3 linked regions of the Coturnix japonica genome follow. The protein of the gene in region 1 purifies or fractionates together with the protein of each later gene. This does not show direct contact. Links are inferred from orthologs where the notes say so. Each region holds a gene or a part of one and is shown on either strand. Other genes may lie near its edges.

Region 1 (6,257 bases):
AAGCAGCTCAGGCAGAGCACAGGGCTCTGCAGCACTAGGGAAAGCCAGTTCTGCAGCAGCCCTTCCAGCAATCCCTTGTTGCTCTTGTCTGCCCTCCACTTGTCTCCATTTTTAAGGGAACGGTGTTATTTGGGGGTGATACATGTGCTTTATTTTCCCTCCTCAAAGCAAACACAAATGTCCCCACCAGGTTAACAACACGAACACTGGGTGTGCAGCCCTCATCCTCCACCCACTTGTCATATTCCAGGTTACTGCTCCATAGCCTCAGGCACCAAGGCTTTACAGCAGAATCCCCTGGGTGATTATTCTTACTAACTGGGAGCAGAACTACCTATTTTCCTTAGCTGCCCCTTTGGAAACAACAAGACTTGTTTTAGCTAAAATCTAATCCAATGTAGACACCAAACAGGGAAAGTTTAAGTCCAAAACCTTAAAAAAAATCACAAACTATTGCAAACAGTCTCACATTATTTACAGGAAATATAAACCCATCCCGAACAGACAGCGCTGTCGGTTCTGCTAATAATTAAAAAGCAGCAATCTATTACATTATTTTTAGTTGTGCCCTCACGCTCCTGCACACAAGGGCCTTAAAATATCCATGTGTCTGGGAAAAGTCTTCTTCCGTGTCAGCACTTGGATGCTGTCCCACGGGATAAATTTGCCACACACATACAGAGCGAGCACCGAAATGCTTTCAACTCATTGCTCATATAAATCAAACACACGGAAACTGCCCGTGTGATGGGTTTTAACTACGCTCCCCCTGTAGATGTGCTGCATCCCCCAGGCTAACAAAGCTGAAATTCAGGCTTCTCGAACGGCACGCTCTGTAGCTTCTGGGAGGTCTGAGTGAAAGGCTGACTGAGCCGGGGAGGTACGTCACAACGAGCCTATGGACACTTCCAAGTGCTGGCAATGGAAATCCTGGAAAACTAAAACAAACAAACCACTGAACCGAAATGGACTTCCTAACAAAGAAACCCTACCTAGCGCCCCGAGCCTTAACGTTTGCTGCACGGAGCATGCCAGGAGGGAGGGAAGGAAAACGTCTCCAGCGACAGCAGCTCCCAGCAGCCCGGTGTGCAGGGCCAAGCCGAGCCCAGGGCTGGCACAGGCAGTGCACAATGGCCACCATCCAGAAGTACACCATTGACGTCAGCAGCTTGTGTAACTATCCTGCCCTCAACTCCAGTCCGTAAACAGCACTTTGGGGGGCAGGGGGACTTTCTTTAAATCGTCGCTTTCTCCTCACTGGAAACTTGTTTTCTGCTATTTCTTTTTTTTTTTTTCACCCAGCTCTCAGTAGTTCCGTCTTCTCATACGACAGAACAGTGAAAATATATGGAGAAGTCTCCACCATAAATTAAACTGCAGCAGCCCCAGAAGGTATATGTCCACTGTCTGACTTGTCCTCCTGAGCCATAACCCTACCTGTGGGCTTGTTTTGTAAAGAAAGCCATGACTTACAACACCAACAAAAGAGCCAGAAAAAATATCACACTGCTTATGAAGTATTTCCCCTTTTCCTTGAAGCTTTTTACCACTATATAAGTCAATCAACGGACTTTGTCTTCTGACAATATCTCAGTTGGGGCCAGCTGGCACAGCTCTGGTCATTGGATCTCACCCTTAGAAAGCTAGCTTTACCTTCTGATGGGCTGAAACACCAACACAGACTTTACCTTTTTACATCCATGCCTGAGCAATCACCCTAGAGCAGCTTTGTTTGAGCTTTAGCCATAACATTGGGATGCCACGATATCACGAAAAAGAGGCTCAAGGATGCAGGCCAATTGGTTACGGAGTCAGACACCACATACGTTACAACACAAGAAACCATCAAAGCACTGGCTTCTGCTGGAGTCGATGCCATATGAGGAAGAGAGCCTTTAAAAGTGTTGTGCCTACCTTGTTGATGTGCAGTTGCTGTTGCTGGAATTGCTGTTTGTGTTTCTCCAAGAACTGCTGGTGCTGCTGCTGGATCACTAACTGCTGGAGGGCCTGGGCGTTCTGGGGAAGGGGAGCAGACTGCGTGCGCCCCAGTGGGCGATGCTGCCGGAGTTTGTGTATTGAAGGGGAGACCCGTTCTCCACCAACCAGAGACTGTGCGTGGAGGGGCAGTCCTGAAAGATACCAGTCTGAAGATAATATGGAGGAAAAAACAGCAGAGAAGAAAAAAAAGGAAGAAGAAAGGAAGGGAGAAAACGGCTGTTGAGTAACGCTGATGGTGACAACGATTTATAACGTTAAAACCAGCCACCTCACCACTTACAGCTGCGGTATCCTTAAAAGAGAACAGATAACAATTAATGACCACTGGATGGAATAACACTTTTAAATTCTCTGCTTGTCTGCTTTACTTAGCAACCCTAGACGATATTTCATCCTTAAATTCAGCAATATTTTATGGACCCTTCCGTCACTCAGTGGATGACATCAATTAGATGCACAGTGGTGGCTTTGAGGAGAAGCTGAAGTCTAATGACTTGCCTTGATGCAGCAAATAATTCCAGCTTCATTTCGAGGACAACATCAGCCCTTGCTGCTGCCCTGCAGCACGCAGCAGCTCTACCTTACAGGATGTTCTCAGACGTGCTGAAGGACGACGGCTGATGATGGAGCTGGTTCTCTTACTAGATCATGAAGGGAAGCCCTCGGCTGTGCTATAACTGCTCTGTAGAAATGACTAAGGATGAAGACATTCATGCGATAAACTGCTGACCATGTTTGCTTTGGAAACACATGAACGCACTTCAGGAATTTGAGAGCCATAAGTTTTCATTATTTCTTTAGAAACAAGGTAATTTAGAGGATAAAGCATTAAAAAGATTTCCACCACTGTCCTGCATATTCACGCTAATAACTTCACTAAAACACAAGGCTACTCTGGGATGTCATGGGTTACTCATTCACCCCTGGGCAATTTGGATGTCTCCTGGATGACTACCATGTGAAACCTACCCGAGCTCTTCTAAGGGTATATCTGCAAGAACTGTCTTTTTTTCAGCTGTTCTTGGTAAGCCAGTTCTTGCTCTGCTCTCTTATACCTTTACGTGCTTCTTAGAAAGCTGGGATGTGAAAACACATGCAACACAAAGCCAAACCCAAGGGTGGAGTAGCTCAGGGTAAGCCTTTGCAAGCTACACCCTGGGACTGAAAGTCATAACTAGAGTGAATGATCGCCTCCCCAGTGTGGATAAGGCTGCACATACTTCTGGGGAAGAAAGTACCTCATTGTACAGAACAGTAAAAACTGTTCAAATAGTAACATGCAAAAAAATGAGACTTGGTTCTAGGCTTGGAGGGGTAGAAAAAAAAGAGCAAAGCTGCACAAAAGTCTGCAGCCAGCTGAATGAAGCAGTTCAGAAACACCTGCAAGCTCCTGGCCCAGGACAATGCCTCCTTGTCCCGTTAATTTACAGAACTGCCCTACATGGAGGAAACCAATTCGTTTAGAGGCCTCTTTTGTTGGGCCAGTTAACCCTTTGCTCTTCTGAAGAGAATCATTGAAAAGAATATCTTATTTTATAACTATGTGTGTGCGTATATGCAAAGTCCAAGTTAGACGGTTGAGGAAGGGATCCTACATGTCTCTAGAGGACATCTTGGAAGACTACTTGTCTCCAAGTGAATGACCAGAATCCTCCTTGCAAAGGTATCCAAGCAAGGCACACTGGTCCTGCTTGGCATATACATGTCAACCAGATCCAGAGTAATCTGGAGCAGGAGCAATGCCAGATCTATGTAGCTCTGCTCTAGTGGGGGATGCAATTGCACTGCCTAGATTCTATTACCACTTTCTACTCAAGGTGAACCACTTATCACGCTCCAGATAAAATCCAGAAATTAGATTTGCAAAATGAGCACCGAACTCATAAAATCAGCACACCACCGACCAGCAGGGACTCTTTGCTTCCCAAATCCCCACGTCTAACTGCATGGAGCCAGCATGCTGCGTGCTGGATTAATTTTGCAGTAGTCAGGAGACTATCTCCACAGCTGAAGGCTACCAACAGAATACTAATAACTCCACTATGCTTCTGAGGAAGTTGTAAGTACTAACTGTATTCTGGCAGACAGTCCATTTAGGGCTTTCGAGACCATGTGTTAGCTTGCTCTGTTTCAGTTGCTGCATCTGGAGTGTGTGCTTCTTGCTGTTGCTCTGCTGTATAGTGACTATTTCTCCTCAGTGTCAGTTTGTTACAAGTTGTACTTGCTCTAAAAACACCACACACTGCAGGTGGACCAGAAGGAATACACATAATAGACTGTAAACAGATGGAAGCTTTGAGAGAGGTGGGATAGGAAACAGAACAGCACTCCCTAAGAGCTCTTTAATGCAAATACCTGCACAAAAGGAGAAAAGTTTTGGTGTTACAGTGAGAGAAAAAGTCTTTTGCAATGACTTTTCATCAGCAGCCCCCAGACAAAGAACAACTGGTGAAGAGACCTGCCATGATGCTGGGCACAGCATCACGTCACAACAACAGTGACAGAATGCAAAGGAAAACTACATCAAGGCTCAGGGAATCTCTGAGAGTGCTGGTTAAACATCGCACTTCTGTGCCTCAGATTCTCCACATGTACGTGCTTATCACAACCCCACGTACATTCCTGGAATTCAAACTGAAAACCAGACACGATCCAAACGCAGTGCTGTAATGTTTCAGCAATCAACATCTCTCAGTAATTTCAGAGAATAGAACAGAATCTTTTGTCTTGGAATGGACCTTTATAGCACACCCAGTCCCAACCCCTGCTATGGGCAGGGACATCTTCAAGCAGACCAGGCTGCCCAAAGCCCCATCCAGCCTGGCCTTAAGCACTGCCATAGATGGGGCAGCCACAGCTTCTTTGGGCAGCCTGTGCTCAAGATATTTTCCGTTAGAAATGGAATGAAAACAATAAAAAATCAACAGGTCTGCAACTTAAGCAGAACATCCTTTGAGTCCCGGTACTACACACTGTAAAACAGAAACGCGGCCTGCTAGGAAATATTGCTTTGAATCAATTCTATTTATAGTAATACGCCTTCCCACAGGTACTTAATTCTGAAAACATGACACAGGGAGTGATTCAAAGCAATTAACATGCTGCAAATGTAACATATACAAACAAATACAATCTGGTGGAACACAGTTGGTTTTGCCACATTTTTGCTATTTGTAATAACCATAAAAAGCCAGTATTTTAATCTGTGATTTTCTAAATGCATGCTTCTGTTTTACCTGGAACAGAAACCATCAGTGATCAACAGGAAGGGCAATCACAAGACACAACATTTTTGTTGCCTATTTACAGTGGCCAGAACTCCAAAGATACTCTTTAAATTGTTGCATGCAGAAGAAAAGCGTAAGCCTGAAAGTACACGCTATTTAATTTCATTCTGTCAAAATGACAAGGCATCTTCCTCCTGCCTATGGATGATGTGGCTACTCTAGCTGGAAACTACCCATCATATACATTGGAGAGCCTACAAATGTGTAAGTTAAACCTACGAAACACATTGATAATGTTCAAGGTACTGCATGTCAGGCTTTGCACATTATCTACCATGTGCTCACCTGTGACTAAGGGAGTTTGTGCAGTTGGCTGCTCCAGTAAGACCATGTGCTGCAGAAGAGGGTTGTGTGTGGTTCCCCCATCTCTTTCCAACGCTGTAGTGCTCAAGTAGGGAGTGAGGTGGGTGCCAGGAAATAAAGAGATCCGCTGCTGCAAGGCTGGGATAGCAAGTCTCTCAGCATCCTGCTGCGCGGATCCTCCCTGCAAACACCCAGGTGATGTCAGTGTGGGTTAAAGGAGAAATCAAGCACCAATTCAAAGCCCATGTTCCCCATCACTTACACTGGAAGGGCCGGTGGCAGGCAGTCCTAGTGTGATGTTGGGCAAAGAAGGAGACGTGTAGAGTGGAAGCTGCGTTACGGAGCCTTCGCGATTCACCAGTCGGTGAGCCAGGCTGGTCTGCAAAGAAAAGGAAAACGCTGTCCCAGTGAGACTGCACCACCCATCAGAGAGGGAGGACGCTGCTCAGCGCTTGTGAGGGCCCAGCAGGAGAGTACAGAGCAGGAAACTTCACTTCTGACATTGGGAATACTGAAAGAGGGAGGTAAGCTGTGCTTCAAGACCCAGCCTTACTTCTCTTTCCATAGCGTTTGCCCTTTTAAAGCAAAAACAGATTACCATAACAATAAGAAAGGCATTACTGCAGTGGTTGTTTTCTTTAGCAAATCACAGACAATTTACCCTATTTA
Region 2 (6,257 bases), on another chromosome or scaffold:
AAACAAGGTGGCTACGTCTGGGTTGAAACTCAAGCAACTGTTATATACAACACTAAGAACTCTCAGCCACAGTGCATAGTATGTGTAAATTATGTGTTGAGGTAAGTTAAGTAGGAATTGCTATTTTTGTCATGACTTATTTTTTTTGGAAGACTGAGTCAGATTCATCTTTGACTTGCTAAGAATCCGGTCCCTATTCAATATGCTGCAGTGCTATCTGATTTTCCTACTGATTAGCTTTTTACTTAGAATGCTGCTAGTCGTAGGATTAGGATTAAAAAAGACAATCACTTTGTAGAGATATCAGTGGGGAGATCTCTGCAGGCAAACAGAATTTGGGCATTGTAGGCACTTACCTAATTTTTGTCCACAGTCTAGAACAGTTATACTCACTGGTAATTCCTAGTGATGGAGTCAGAGGTATCCATTTATCTTTTTCTTCCTTTGAATTCTTTCTACTGAAACCTTAAACTTAAGGCAGACTTGAAGTATTTTTCTGCGACAGTGGAATAGTCCTAAGTTAGTTTTTCACAGCTTTAGTGAACGTACCAGTATCAATCCATCAAGATATAGTACCTTCATTTAAAAAAAGTAGAAGACTTTTAAGGAAAGCCCCGAAGTTTGTTTTACTTCTTTTTCTTACTTTCTTGATGCTTTCATGGCAACTTAGAAAATCGTGAGGGCTGAATTCTAGCTGGTTTTTAATCATCTTCCTTTCTGTCTGGCAGTGGAATTGTTCAGAAGGACTTGATATTTTCCCTTGGACAAACGGAGTGTATGCTGAAACCAGTGGAGTCTCCTGAAATGAAAATGACCAAAATATTCAGCAAAGATGACCTGGATGATACCAACAGCCTTTTTGAAAAACTTAAGCAGGAACCAGATGCTTTAACTGTGCTGGCTCCAGCTGCTGGAGACACGATTATCTCCCTAGATTTCAGCAGCAATGGTGGGTGTGTGTTTAAATTGGAGAGCATGCTAATTAGTAAAGTTTGGTATTTTGCAGTAAACTTTGGAAAATAACTTCCCACTTTCACTTGCCTAGTGATCTCTCAGCCACTGTTTAAAATTTAATGAGGTCCGTAGACACGCTCAGTATTTGTTACTTAGGTTGATGGTCTCTTTTAATTTTTATAGAGTCTGATGAACAACAATGTGATGAAGTTCCTTTGTATAACGATGTAATGCTCCCCTCATCCAGTGAGAAATTGCAGAATATAAATATGGCAATGTCCCCACTACCTGCCTCTGAAACTACAAAGCCACTTCGTAGCAATGCTGATCCTGCGCTCAATAGAGAAGTTGTATCAAAGCTGGAGCCAAACACAGAGACACTCGAACTTTCTTTTACCATGCCTCAGGTGCAAGAGCAACCAACCAGCCCTTCTGATGCAAGTACCAGCCAAAGTTCACCTGAGGTTAGTTACGTAATTTGGATACGCTGTCATTAAAATGTATGTGCTGTGTTGAGGCTTGTAGAACAAATCTAGTCAAAGATGCACCCAAGGCATGAATTTAAAATTATTTCTAGCTTGTGACTTAGTTATGCTCGTACTCTAAGGAAAAATGCACTTTCACAGGGAGAATTAACTTTTCATGGAAGCGAGTCTCGCAAATATGTAGAATAGTACATGTGAAAGAAAAGAAGAGCTGCAGATTGGTCTTCCTAGAAAAGGATGATTCAGAGTTGGCTTCTGTAAATGGAAATTAGTTACAGTAAAGTACTGCACAGGCTACTTCTGTGTTCTAACTAATCAAGTGCTTCCCAAATGGGTAAGCAAACGTGTATGTTTTCCTTTCCCATTTTAGTTCTGTGCAGCCATAGATTGCAATTCGTTTTGGCATTCACACATATTTCAGATCTGTAGATACAATGCAAAATAACGTAATGATAGAAAGTTAAAACTGCACTCAAAATGTTTTCACAGCCCAGTAGTCCCAATGACTATTGCTTTGATGTGGATAATGACATGGCTAATGAATTCAAACTGGAATTAGTGGAGAAGCTCTTTGCAATAGATACAGAAGCAAAAAATCCATTCTCCACTCAGGTAATGTACATGAACTTGAAATTCTGTATCATCTTAGTGCTCTCGACATGCTTCTCATTTTGTTAAATGCTTCCAGGAACCTAATTCTTCTTTTACATAACGCTTTATTAAAGATAAATTGCAGAGCCATGAGCTGAGATGTTCTGATGTAAGTTTTAACCTTTTATGTTCTCCAGGAGACTGATTTAGACTTGGAGATGTTGGCTCCTTACATCCCAATGGATGATGACTTCCAGTTGCGCTCCTTTGATCAGCTATCTCCACTGGAAAGCAGTTCTGGCTCTCAAAATGCAGCCACCATTACCATACTTCAGCAGACTCAGACACCATCAACGGCTGCTGATGAAATAAAACCAGTGGCAGAACGTGTGGATGATGTGAAGGCACTAATTGTTCCATCGTCTCCTGTCCATGTAATAAATGACACGAGTAGTGCCCCAGCATCACCTTACAGTGGGAACAGGAGTCGAACCGCATCTCCAATCAGAGCAGGAAAAGGAACATTGGAACAGACAGAAAAATCTTGTCCAGGAGCACCCAGTTTGATAACAGTCACGCTGAACAAAAGGTATTTTAAAAGTGAAGCTCAAGCCCTACTATTTATTCAAGAAATTAGACATGATAGACTTTGAAATACTGCAACTATTGTACATTATCTTCAACGTTCTACTTCAAAGTAGACATTAATATTTAAATCCAGACCATTTTTTAATATAGTAAGCTACTCTAATTTCTCAGCAGCTTTTTTGCAGTAGCCTTTACATAAACATCTCATGCAATATGCAGCTACTACATGCCAGCTGTGTTCATAATTTTGTTCCGCTCTTGTATGATGTGTAGCCATTTAAAAAGACTGCAGCAGGCTCTACCTACATGGTATTGCTGATGCTTTTCTTGTCACTTCATTGAGCTGAGAGGCATCCACAGTCTGTGCTACATGTACTGCTTTTAAAATTGGCTATAATTCATGATGGTGGACTATGGCATACGTAGCATGTATTTATGACGACCAAATTCTACAGTATCAGAACATCAGACCTTTAACGCAGAAACTCTGTACACAAATATTCAGAAGACTTTTCCTCAATCTTCCCTCCTTTGTGTAGGAAATGAATTACTGAACTTTATGCTTTGGTTTGTTTTTAACAGACTTTCTTTTTTTGGCTAAAACTCATTCAGAGCTTCATAGAAAGATGAAATGCTAACGTTTTCTATGTTCCTAGGCAATAACTGTTTAAATTAGTCAGTTACTAAAGAATACTAGTATAGTTCTTAAATTCAGTTCTGTCATATTGTATTTGTCCACAAACGAAGAATGGCTCGAGAACGGTAGAAACGTCTTAACAGCCTGAATCGATTTTTCTTAGATCTACTGCAATGGATGAAGAACTAAATCCAAAGATGCTAGCTTTGCATAATGCTCAGAGAAAACGAAAAATGGAGCATGATGGTTCACTTTTTCAGGCAGTTGGAATTGTGAGTTTTGTTTTACCGTTTTAAAATATTCACTTTTAACCTTGCAATTTCTGACACGAGGCTTCAGTGCAGACTCCAGAGTTTAGCTGTTGGTTTGCAATGGAACCTTGGGATCAGCGATAATAACTGTTTGGGCATGAAATTCCCTCATATATGCAAATATTGTTTTAGTTCTTTTACTGTTGGTTGTTTCAAAGTGCCCTCTGTACCTAAATGGATTTCTTGATTAGATAGAATATATTTGTGAACATACATGCGAGGAGGCATGCTCTGTTAGCAGAATATGCACAAATGTAAGGCAGAATTGTCATGTTTATTTCACTTCCACTTTCACACTCAGTTTTCATACTTGTGAGTACCAAAGTGTTCTTACACTTCCTATTGTTTCATCTCTCTTTGAGTCTGAGGTTCCTGTTTTGAATTTGGTCAGATATCAATACCATCCCAACTACAGAACGTGAATTCATAGAATCTAGCAAACTTGCATTGCTACCACATGCGTTGTTTGTGACTGGGAGCACTGCATCATTGTCCATCTAAGCTATTCAGAAGGAATTCTGTAGGTATTCTAAGGCTTCTGTCCCTTCATTGGCACCATGCAACTTGTTACTTTCTGTAAGGGTATTTTGTCTCTACGATCTTTGATTCTTACTGGCATTTTTTTTTTAGTAGCTTGAAATCCTGGGCTTTGCAATGATTTGCATCTCTCAGTTTCATTGCAAATTCCCACTTCTCTTAAATTTCTACATAATAAATTCTTGGTTTTTTTTCCACTGCATCGTAGCCTTTGATGTTGTTTCTCTAGCAGTCAGTCCATCTCCTAGATGTAATCATCCATTGTGTCTTACAGAGCAGGGTTACCTGTCCTTTGAATGGTTCACTCAAGCGAGAAGTCACTCTATGCAGTCTTAGCATCTCATCTGTGACAGCTGAGGAAGCATTCATACCTCCATTCTTTATTTTTTTTGCCATGGGGTTAGCAGATTTAAAACAACAACAAAACAACAAACGTACTTATGCTATCAGTCTTATTCGCTCAATGCTTTGCACTTTCATGCATGCTGTGCCATTGCTTTCAGTAGCTCCTAAGAATTCACAGCTCTGCTTCAAGTTTTATTGCCTTCTGTTGCCTTTCTCATGCAGTGGTGCTATGGCTGTGCTACAGTGTTGCTGATATGCATTTCAAGGTAGCAGAACACAAGCAGTTCTATATTAACTATTGTAATAAACACAAACTTACATGTTGAGAGCCCTTTTAAAGCTTACAAGTTTGTATTTCACCCTTTGCTAAACCTTCTTTTTGTGCCTGATGAGTGTTATAAATATTTTGACAGTTTCTGCATGGTCAGAAGGTGAATTTTCCACATAGTGGGGGGTCTTAGTGACATTATTATAAGCAGGTACTTTTGTCATCTGGTTTCTCTCTCCAGAGTGGATTTCTGAGTGTACAAACTAGGCGTTGCAGACACACAGAAGAAAAATTATATTAAATCCAGGCTTGTATCACACAGAGATTTGGGACTATGCAAAAACTTGCCATGACTTCCATGGCTGTATAGAAGCACTATTAATTATTGAAAAGAGCAAAAATAATTGAAGACAAAATACAACTTCAGGTTTTCTGGAAGATGAGAGAATTAGGCAAAGACAAAGTGTGCTATAGTGATATTAGGAAATAGTGATACAAATAGTTAAAGCAGAAAAAAGTGAGCTATTTTTCTTCATATGGAGGGCTGCAATGCATTCCCAGTAGTAGAATGGAACAAAAACCAGTACAGGAACAGTACCGGTGACTTGCTATGAATGCAGCTTCTGAGTTGTTTAACTCCTGTTACACAGCTGTCTTTTGACTTGCATGCATGTTTAATAACCTGAAAAGCTGTCCCTTAATGGCAGGATTCTTAAGTACTTTTTCTTCTTTCCCAACAGTCAGCATTACTAACATGGCAAAATTTTGCAGATTCAACCCCTTGTTACTAAGATGGTGTTTTTTCCTTTCATCCCATCTTTGTTTCAGTCGAGGCCTTTTCTTATTCTAATTATATGGAGTTTTCCAGAGCTTTCTGATCTCTACATCTTGGATGCTGCCATCAAAACAATATGCTAAGGAGCTGTTCTGCAATAGAACGGCTCTGGACTGCATTCCCCTTAAGCCTTAGGTCAGTTGGGTTTGGTGGCAGCATCTGGTGCACAAGCAGATTTTACAACTGAGATGTAGATAAAATCCACTGAGCGAGGTTCCTGACTCTCCTGTTTACACTATTAATGCCAGTGCAGAAAACCATGAGACTCCAATGGAAAAATGTGATAGTTATTTGTATGAGAGCAGTGGTAATCAAATGGGCATGTATAGGTACCTGTCCGTGCTAATCTTGAGCCTGGTAGCTGGTGATAACCAGGATTCAGTAATTACTTTGTGCAAGGGAGGTAAACTCTGGAAATCTGATCCCATTTTTTTTTTTTTTTTTAAAGTAATTTTTATGGCTACTCTATTGGAAATATATTTGATCTCAATTCTGAACGAATTCATCTGTAAACTGTAATAAAGCCAACATCAGTGACAGGGATCCCTATTTTGGCAAAGGGGTGCAGAAGTCTAAGCAAGATGCACCATTCAACAAAGATGATTTTGTTTTACTTTCTCCTAGGGATCCTTATTCCAGCAGACAGGTGACCGTGGAGGAAACGCATCGCTTGCTTGGAAACGTGTAAAGGCGTGTAAAACAAACG
Region 3 (5,766 bases), on another chromosome or scaffold:
CATCAAGAAACCTTAGAGGTATTGTCAGACCTAAGACAGCAGAGCAGCAATACTCAGCTTGTATGCAGCTGTGAGCAGCTGGAAACTATCTGGCTTCAGCCTGAGCCTACAAGCACAAGTGTCCATTTACCTTGGAGAAAACAGGCACCTGTACACAGCAGCTCACATCAACCACCGCAGCTGAGGCAGCAGGGCTCTGCGGGATGCAATGCAGGACAGCTGAGCACCGGGGATGCTAAGGGACAGGCAGCAGGTGGGGGCAGGCAAAGGAGTAAGAGAATGAAGGAATGAAAACCTGCAGATCTGTATGTCCTAAAGCCTTCCATCTTCTCCTTTTGAAAAGGAAATTACCAAAGGCTTTCCTGTGTATGGGTGTGTGTACTGATACTTGGATTCTGACTTAATGATTCCTTAGTTCAAAGAACAGATCTCAACAAATGAGAGTAGTTTACTTCAAGCTGATATACAAACCCAGGCAACAAACATCACTGAATGATAAAAATACAGGACTTTGAGCTACTCCTTAATCACCTTTCCAGGGGATCTACCAGTCTCTGCAGTGCAGAAGGAAAGGTCAGTACTGATCTGTGAAACAGACTGAAATCCTGATTATGCAGTAGCATCACAGTTTGAAGTGAAGCTTACATTGAGGGAGGTGATCCCCCTCTACTCTGCCCTGGTGAGGTCTCATCTGGAGTGCTGCGTCCAGTTCTGGGCTCCCCAGTACAAAAAAGACAGGGACCTCCTGGAAAGAGTCCAGCAGAGGGTCACAGAGATGGGGAAGGGCCTGGAGCATCTCCCCGGTGAAGAAAGGCTGAGTGAACTGGGTCAGTTTAGCCTTGAGAAAAGAAGGCTAAGAGGGGACCTGGTCCAGGTCTATAAATATCTGAGGTGAGGGGGGGGGCAAAGTGGTGGCCAGGCTCTTTTCAGCAATGTGTGGAGACAGGACAAGGGGAAACGTCCAGAAACTGGAGCATAGGAAGTTCTGCACGAATGTGTGCAAGAACATCTTTACAGTGAGGGTGACGGAGCCCTGGAACAGGCTGCCCAAGGGGTTGGGGAGTCTCCTTCTCTGGAGATATTCAAGACCCACCTGGAGACCAAGCTGTGTGATGTGGTGTAGGGAACCTGCTTTGGTAGGGGGGTTGGACTCGATCATCTCTGGAGGTCCCTTCCAACCTCTACCATTCTGTGACTTCTATTTTAAGTTTTCTCTCTTCTCTTGAATCTCACCTCCTAGCTGGCTGGCAAAGAGCATCACTAATCCCCATCAGAACAACCATTTCTTGTTCACAATGCGATATTCTTAAACACAAAAGCCTACAAATGGCCAGTCACAGTGTAACTGTGGAGTGCAAAATCTGGAGTGACTGTCAACGTACTCTGTTGACTTCACTAACAACTGCTGGTATTTGCATACAGAAATGGAACAAATGAACTGCTTCCCCCTGCAGCAGGGAATGCATCGTGCCAAAGGCAGTAGGGCAAATCATTGATAGAACTGTATCAATGAAGGCACAAAGTTCTATCTGCAGAAGGACAAGAGGCAAATGAGAGGAAAGGGAACTTAATGAACTACTATCTAAAGCAAAGGAGCTTCTTTTTGTTAGTGATCAAAAGCTCCCAACATATGAGATATAAACAACAACAAAAGGAACACCTCCACGTGAGCATTAGCTTTAGAATGCTCTTCTCCCTGTAAAAGGTCACGCTTCAGCAGGACTGAGCTTTCCAGAAACAGTTTGGAGCTCCACCTGAAGGTAGAATTTTTGCTAAAGAAAAAAGTAACCCCTCAAACCTTCCAGAAAAGGTGTGAATTAATGAGTTGTGAAGTGTCTTGCAAGTCTGACAATTACGCAGCCCTTCAAGAGAAAACCTCAGAAAAGCAAGGAAAAAAGTGTGTGAAGGCAGACCTGCACACATTTCTGTGTATAAGAAAGAACACCCCTCTGTTTTGTCACACTGAGCCCAAAAGCCAGAGTCTTTTAAACAGTCTGAATAGCATTGGGGCCTCCTTTCGAACAGCCAACTAAGCTCTTCTAAGATGTGTCCAGTAAGAAGTTGCAAGCAGGAGCCTTAATAATGCAGAACATTTGAATGTGTTTTGAACAAAATCGTCACCAGATTCAGATTAGGGGAAAGAAAAAGCTTTTAAACAGAAGTTAACACAAATCACACTTAGCTTTGTAACGGAAGCCTGGGCAATACACATAGTACTGAATTTCAAGTTATTCCTTTAATATTTAGAAAACTGGTTTTATTCTTAGTTTTTCAGATTTTTTCTGAAGTATTAGCACCTACAATGGAAATAACTCAGATTTACACTTGAAAAACAGCCATGCTCGATCAGTTAATTTGTATTTTTCTACTTCTGAACATTTCACAGAGCACCAAGAGGGGAAAAAAAAAAAGAGAGCAACATTTCAGTGGTGAGTGAGCTCTGTTCTCAGCTACATCACACCGCAGGACCGGGCATCTCACCAGGGCAGAATTCAGAAGGTCGCAGTTTTCCAGCACATTCCAATCACCTCATTTTTGTTTTTTCCATTATTTCCGGTGGAAATTTCTCTCCAGGTTTATAAAACCTACCCAGCTGTGCATTCGTTTATTAAACCAGAGCTGACCTGAGATGCAATTAGAATTTGACATTTTTCCATACTTAGTTCACAAGTTTATTATGAAAAACACTGCAGCTCCGTCCTGCAGTAACATTGTTTTACAGAAAAAAAACAGTTCTGTTCAAAGTAACTCACTAAGCTCCGACAATTACAAGGGACAAAATGGCTGGGCAAAGAGTGGAAAAGGGAACTGAGTGCAGACAAAAAAAATCAATACAATTAAATTAAACGGTATTCCCTGAAAACAAAAACAAACAAACAAGTTTCAGAACAAATATGAAGCCTTGGTACTTATTTTAAAAATGTTCTTTAAGCTTCAATGATTGTTTGCTGCTATCCTTATCTACAGTCATGCTGAATAAAGCTATAGCTAAATGGAAAGTTAAATGTATTCACGAGGTGTTAATGTCTACATCTTATTATTTGCAGTCTCTCAGAGAAAGCAAAAGTAACTACAAATAGCGCTATGCCAGAAACTGGTTTCTTGACCAACAATGTTGCTTCAGCATGCAATGAACTGGTTCATTCTAAAGTGGTCACAGTTGTTGACGACAAGAGGCTTTGTATTTGAATATGGCACGTCTTTTGGTCCATGTGAAAACAAGTTTGAATGTTAAATATTTTCTGACACTTTGGAGTTACTGTTGCTCTTCCCATTTTCTTTAGGTCAACATATGGTTCATGGCAATACTGTACAGGTCTATAATCTCTTTACAGGAAGTAATCCGGGGTGCGACGAGTCACATGCGGTTCACCTCTGCGCGGCGCTGGATCGAACTGCAAACTGAGAAGCACACGTATTAATGGCAGCATCCCATTCACACGCAGGTATTTTTTCAGAAGTATTTTAAACTTATCTATGGATTATTTCTATGCACTTGGAAGAAACAAATCTTGGCTTTACGACTCAAACCGGTCAGATATCAGTATACATCTAGACGCTAGGAGCCTCCAGTAATTATCAAAGAGTTAATTTACACAGTACTTTATACAATTCCTCATTTATTAGTAAAACTGCTACAGCAGCTCCAGAAGTCAACATCCTAACAAGACTGTCAGTCTCTTGCCCTAGACTTAAAGGTGGGCATAATTACCTCAGGTAATCCAACTTAAAATGAAATACTTCTGTAGTATTTCATTAAACTCTGACTTTATTGTATGTAATGAGCTTAATGACAGCTGTCCAGATGTCAGCAACAACAGTTTCCAATATCTGACTGTAAAGCTTCTTACATATGAGTAGCCCAACCATTCCACTGTCAGGTCACCTCCTGAAGGTGTACAGGGTAAAAACCCTACCTCAAAACCACAATTAGTTACTGTAGCAAAATACCACTTATTAGATCTTAAAATCATGTGCAACACAGACCTCATTTCTAAGCGTACTTACAAGGAGTATTTTAAAGTATCATCAAGTTCCATAATTGCAGCCTGGTTGCCACAACGGTAGCAATAGTTTGGAGCACTGAAAATTGTTACTACATTCCGATCATGGCACCAGTTGTACCCCTGGAGAGGAAAATAAACTATTTAGGAAAACCACATTCATTTGTTGCACCCCGTAACTTACTACTAAACTACATAGGCTTTGCAGTTTTAAGTAACACTAAGCTCTGTGTCTATTTCTCTTCTCAAATGAAAAGGGAAAATAGGAATTGCATACCATAGCATATAACATCATCCTATAGTAAGCATTAGATAAGCACATTTAAAAAATAGCAAGACTTCTCTCTCCACTACTTTGTTAAAAATTAAAATACCAATTCTGAGTTACACGATGTTTTAAAGGTGTGGGTTCTGGTTTTGATGATTAGAGGTTAACTTCTAGGAACAACCAAGAAGAAAACCACACACAAACCTTGTAAAGAGGCCAAGTGCACATCTCGGGCACCACAACAACTGACTACACTATAAACAGCTTAAACACACAGCCTTTGCTGCTTACCTCCATTACCAACTGATGGGCTCTTGAAACCAGCGTAAGGCCATTAGCATGGTTAAAGGTTTCTGAAATATCCTGTCCAAATGTATAACCTGCACCTCGAGGAGAAATTCCCCAGCCACCACGATCATCTGGATCCGACCACAACAGATCACACATTGGACCCTGTAAGAGATTTGGAAAGTGTTTCATAAATTGAAGCAAAAAAAAAAAAAAAGGCAAGAACAAAAAACATAACCTACACACTCACGTTGTCCCTTCACACCTCAGCATCTCTTTAAGGCTTGGCAAAATAACGTAAGAAAAACCCCACCTGCCACCTACAATAGTTAGTGTAGTTAAAGCTTGAAATACTAACAAGGAAGTTAATTTTAATGAAAGAAAAATTCACAGAAGTAGCTCTCACCTCTGAGATATTAAAGCAACTTCAGGCAAGAATGCGTCCCTTAATTTTCCTCCAGAAGACTAGCAGGGCAAGACAGGCATTCTCAAATTGCTACATCATTTTGAACCTGATTTTCTGCCTTTGTATACATAAAATACCCAACACATGCTGAATAATGAATCCCACTGCGAGTTAAGACAATTTTCAGTATACCTCATGGGGAACTTCCTGCAAGCGATCGAGTGCTCTGATGTGATCCAGCGTATCTATTGATGGAGAGAGGCCACCATGTAGACAGAAAATCTGAAAGAGATGATGATGGATGAAATTCCAATTGTTTGCATTTATTGGTACAGAAAATGACATCTGTTTAGTATTAACAATTCAGAAAACTTTTGAGATTGCTTTCAAGCTGAGCACTCACTGAATACAGCATTAACAGCTCCCTTCACAACCAGCAACATTTAACTTTATCCAAGTTCAACCTACCTGGCCATCCACCAAGGCGGTTAGAGGAAGGTAATCAAAAAGATCTGTGAAGTACTTCCAAACATTTGCATTTCCATATTTTCTTAAACACTCGTCATAGAAACCATATACTTGTGTGATCTGCCTGCTTTCATGGTTCCCTCGAAGAATTGTGATACGTTCACGGTAACGGACCTAAACACAGTAATTGAAGATATTTTAGAGGCATGACAGTATGCACTTCCCAAAACCACAGTTTGCTTTTCCTCCCCTCCCCAAAATATGTCAATTAAAAGATAAGAAAAAATTAAATCACAACATTAAAGGAAAAATAAAAAACCACAGCTGAATGA

Evidence for each region.
Region 2: the proteins of HDAC4 (region 1) and HIF1A purify together in Homo sapiens (affinity purification with western blotting; 4 studies listed by BioGRID and IntAct, with this or other methods). This does not show direct contact. The link is inferred for Coturnix japonica from reciprocal best matches to the Homo sapiens genes HDAC4 and HIF1A.
Region 3: the proteins of HDAC4 (region 1) and PPP2CA purify together in Homo sapiens (affinity purification with western blotting; 3 studies listed by BioGRID, with this or other methods). This does not show direct contact. The link is inferred for Coturnix japonica from reciprocal best matches to the Homo sapiens genes HDAC4 and PPP2CA.

The regions. Positions count from the first base shown.
Region 1 is NC_029522.1:3,013,008-3,019,264, reverse strand, and holds part of HDAC4 (histone deacetylase 4), read right to left. Parts: intron 5,968-6,257; coding exon 5,851-5,967; intron 5,770-5,850; coding exon 5,571-5,769; intron 2,145-5,570; coding exon 1,915-2,144; intron 1-1,914. UniProt on the Homo sapiens protein: Responsible for the deacetylation of lysine residues on the N-terminal part of the core histones (H2A, H2B, H3 and H4).
Region 2 is NC_029520.1:49,069,463-49,075,719, reverse strand, and holds part of HIF1A (hypoxia-inducible factor 1-alpha), read left to right. Parts: coding exon 1-101; intron 102-356; exon of another isoform or gene 357-728; coding exon 729-949; intron 950-1,137; coding exon 1,138-1,418; intron 1,419-1,928; coding exon 1,929-2,051; intron 2,052-2,227; coding exon 2,228-2,619; intron 2,620-3,418; coding exon 3,419-3,527; intron 3,528-6,175; coding exon 6,176-6,257.
Region 3 is NC_029528.1:2,266,303-2,272,068, forward strand, and holds the end of PPP2CA (serine/threonine-protein phosphatase 2A catalytic subunit alpha isoform), read right to left. Parts: intron 5,609-5,766; coding exon 5,435-5,608; intron 5,249-5,434; coding exon 5,159-5,248; intron 4,726-5,158; coding exon 4,564-4,725; intron 4,128-4,563; coding exon 4,009-4,127; intron 3,403-4,008; coding exon 3,330-3,402; 3' UTR 2,218-3,329; downstream 1-2,217. UniProt on the Homo sapiens protein: Catalytic subunit of protein phosphatase 2A (PP2A), a serine/threonine phosphatase involved in the regulation of a wide variety of enzymes, signal transduction pathways, and cellular events.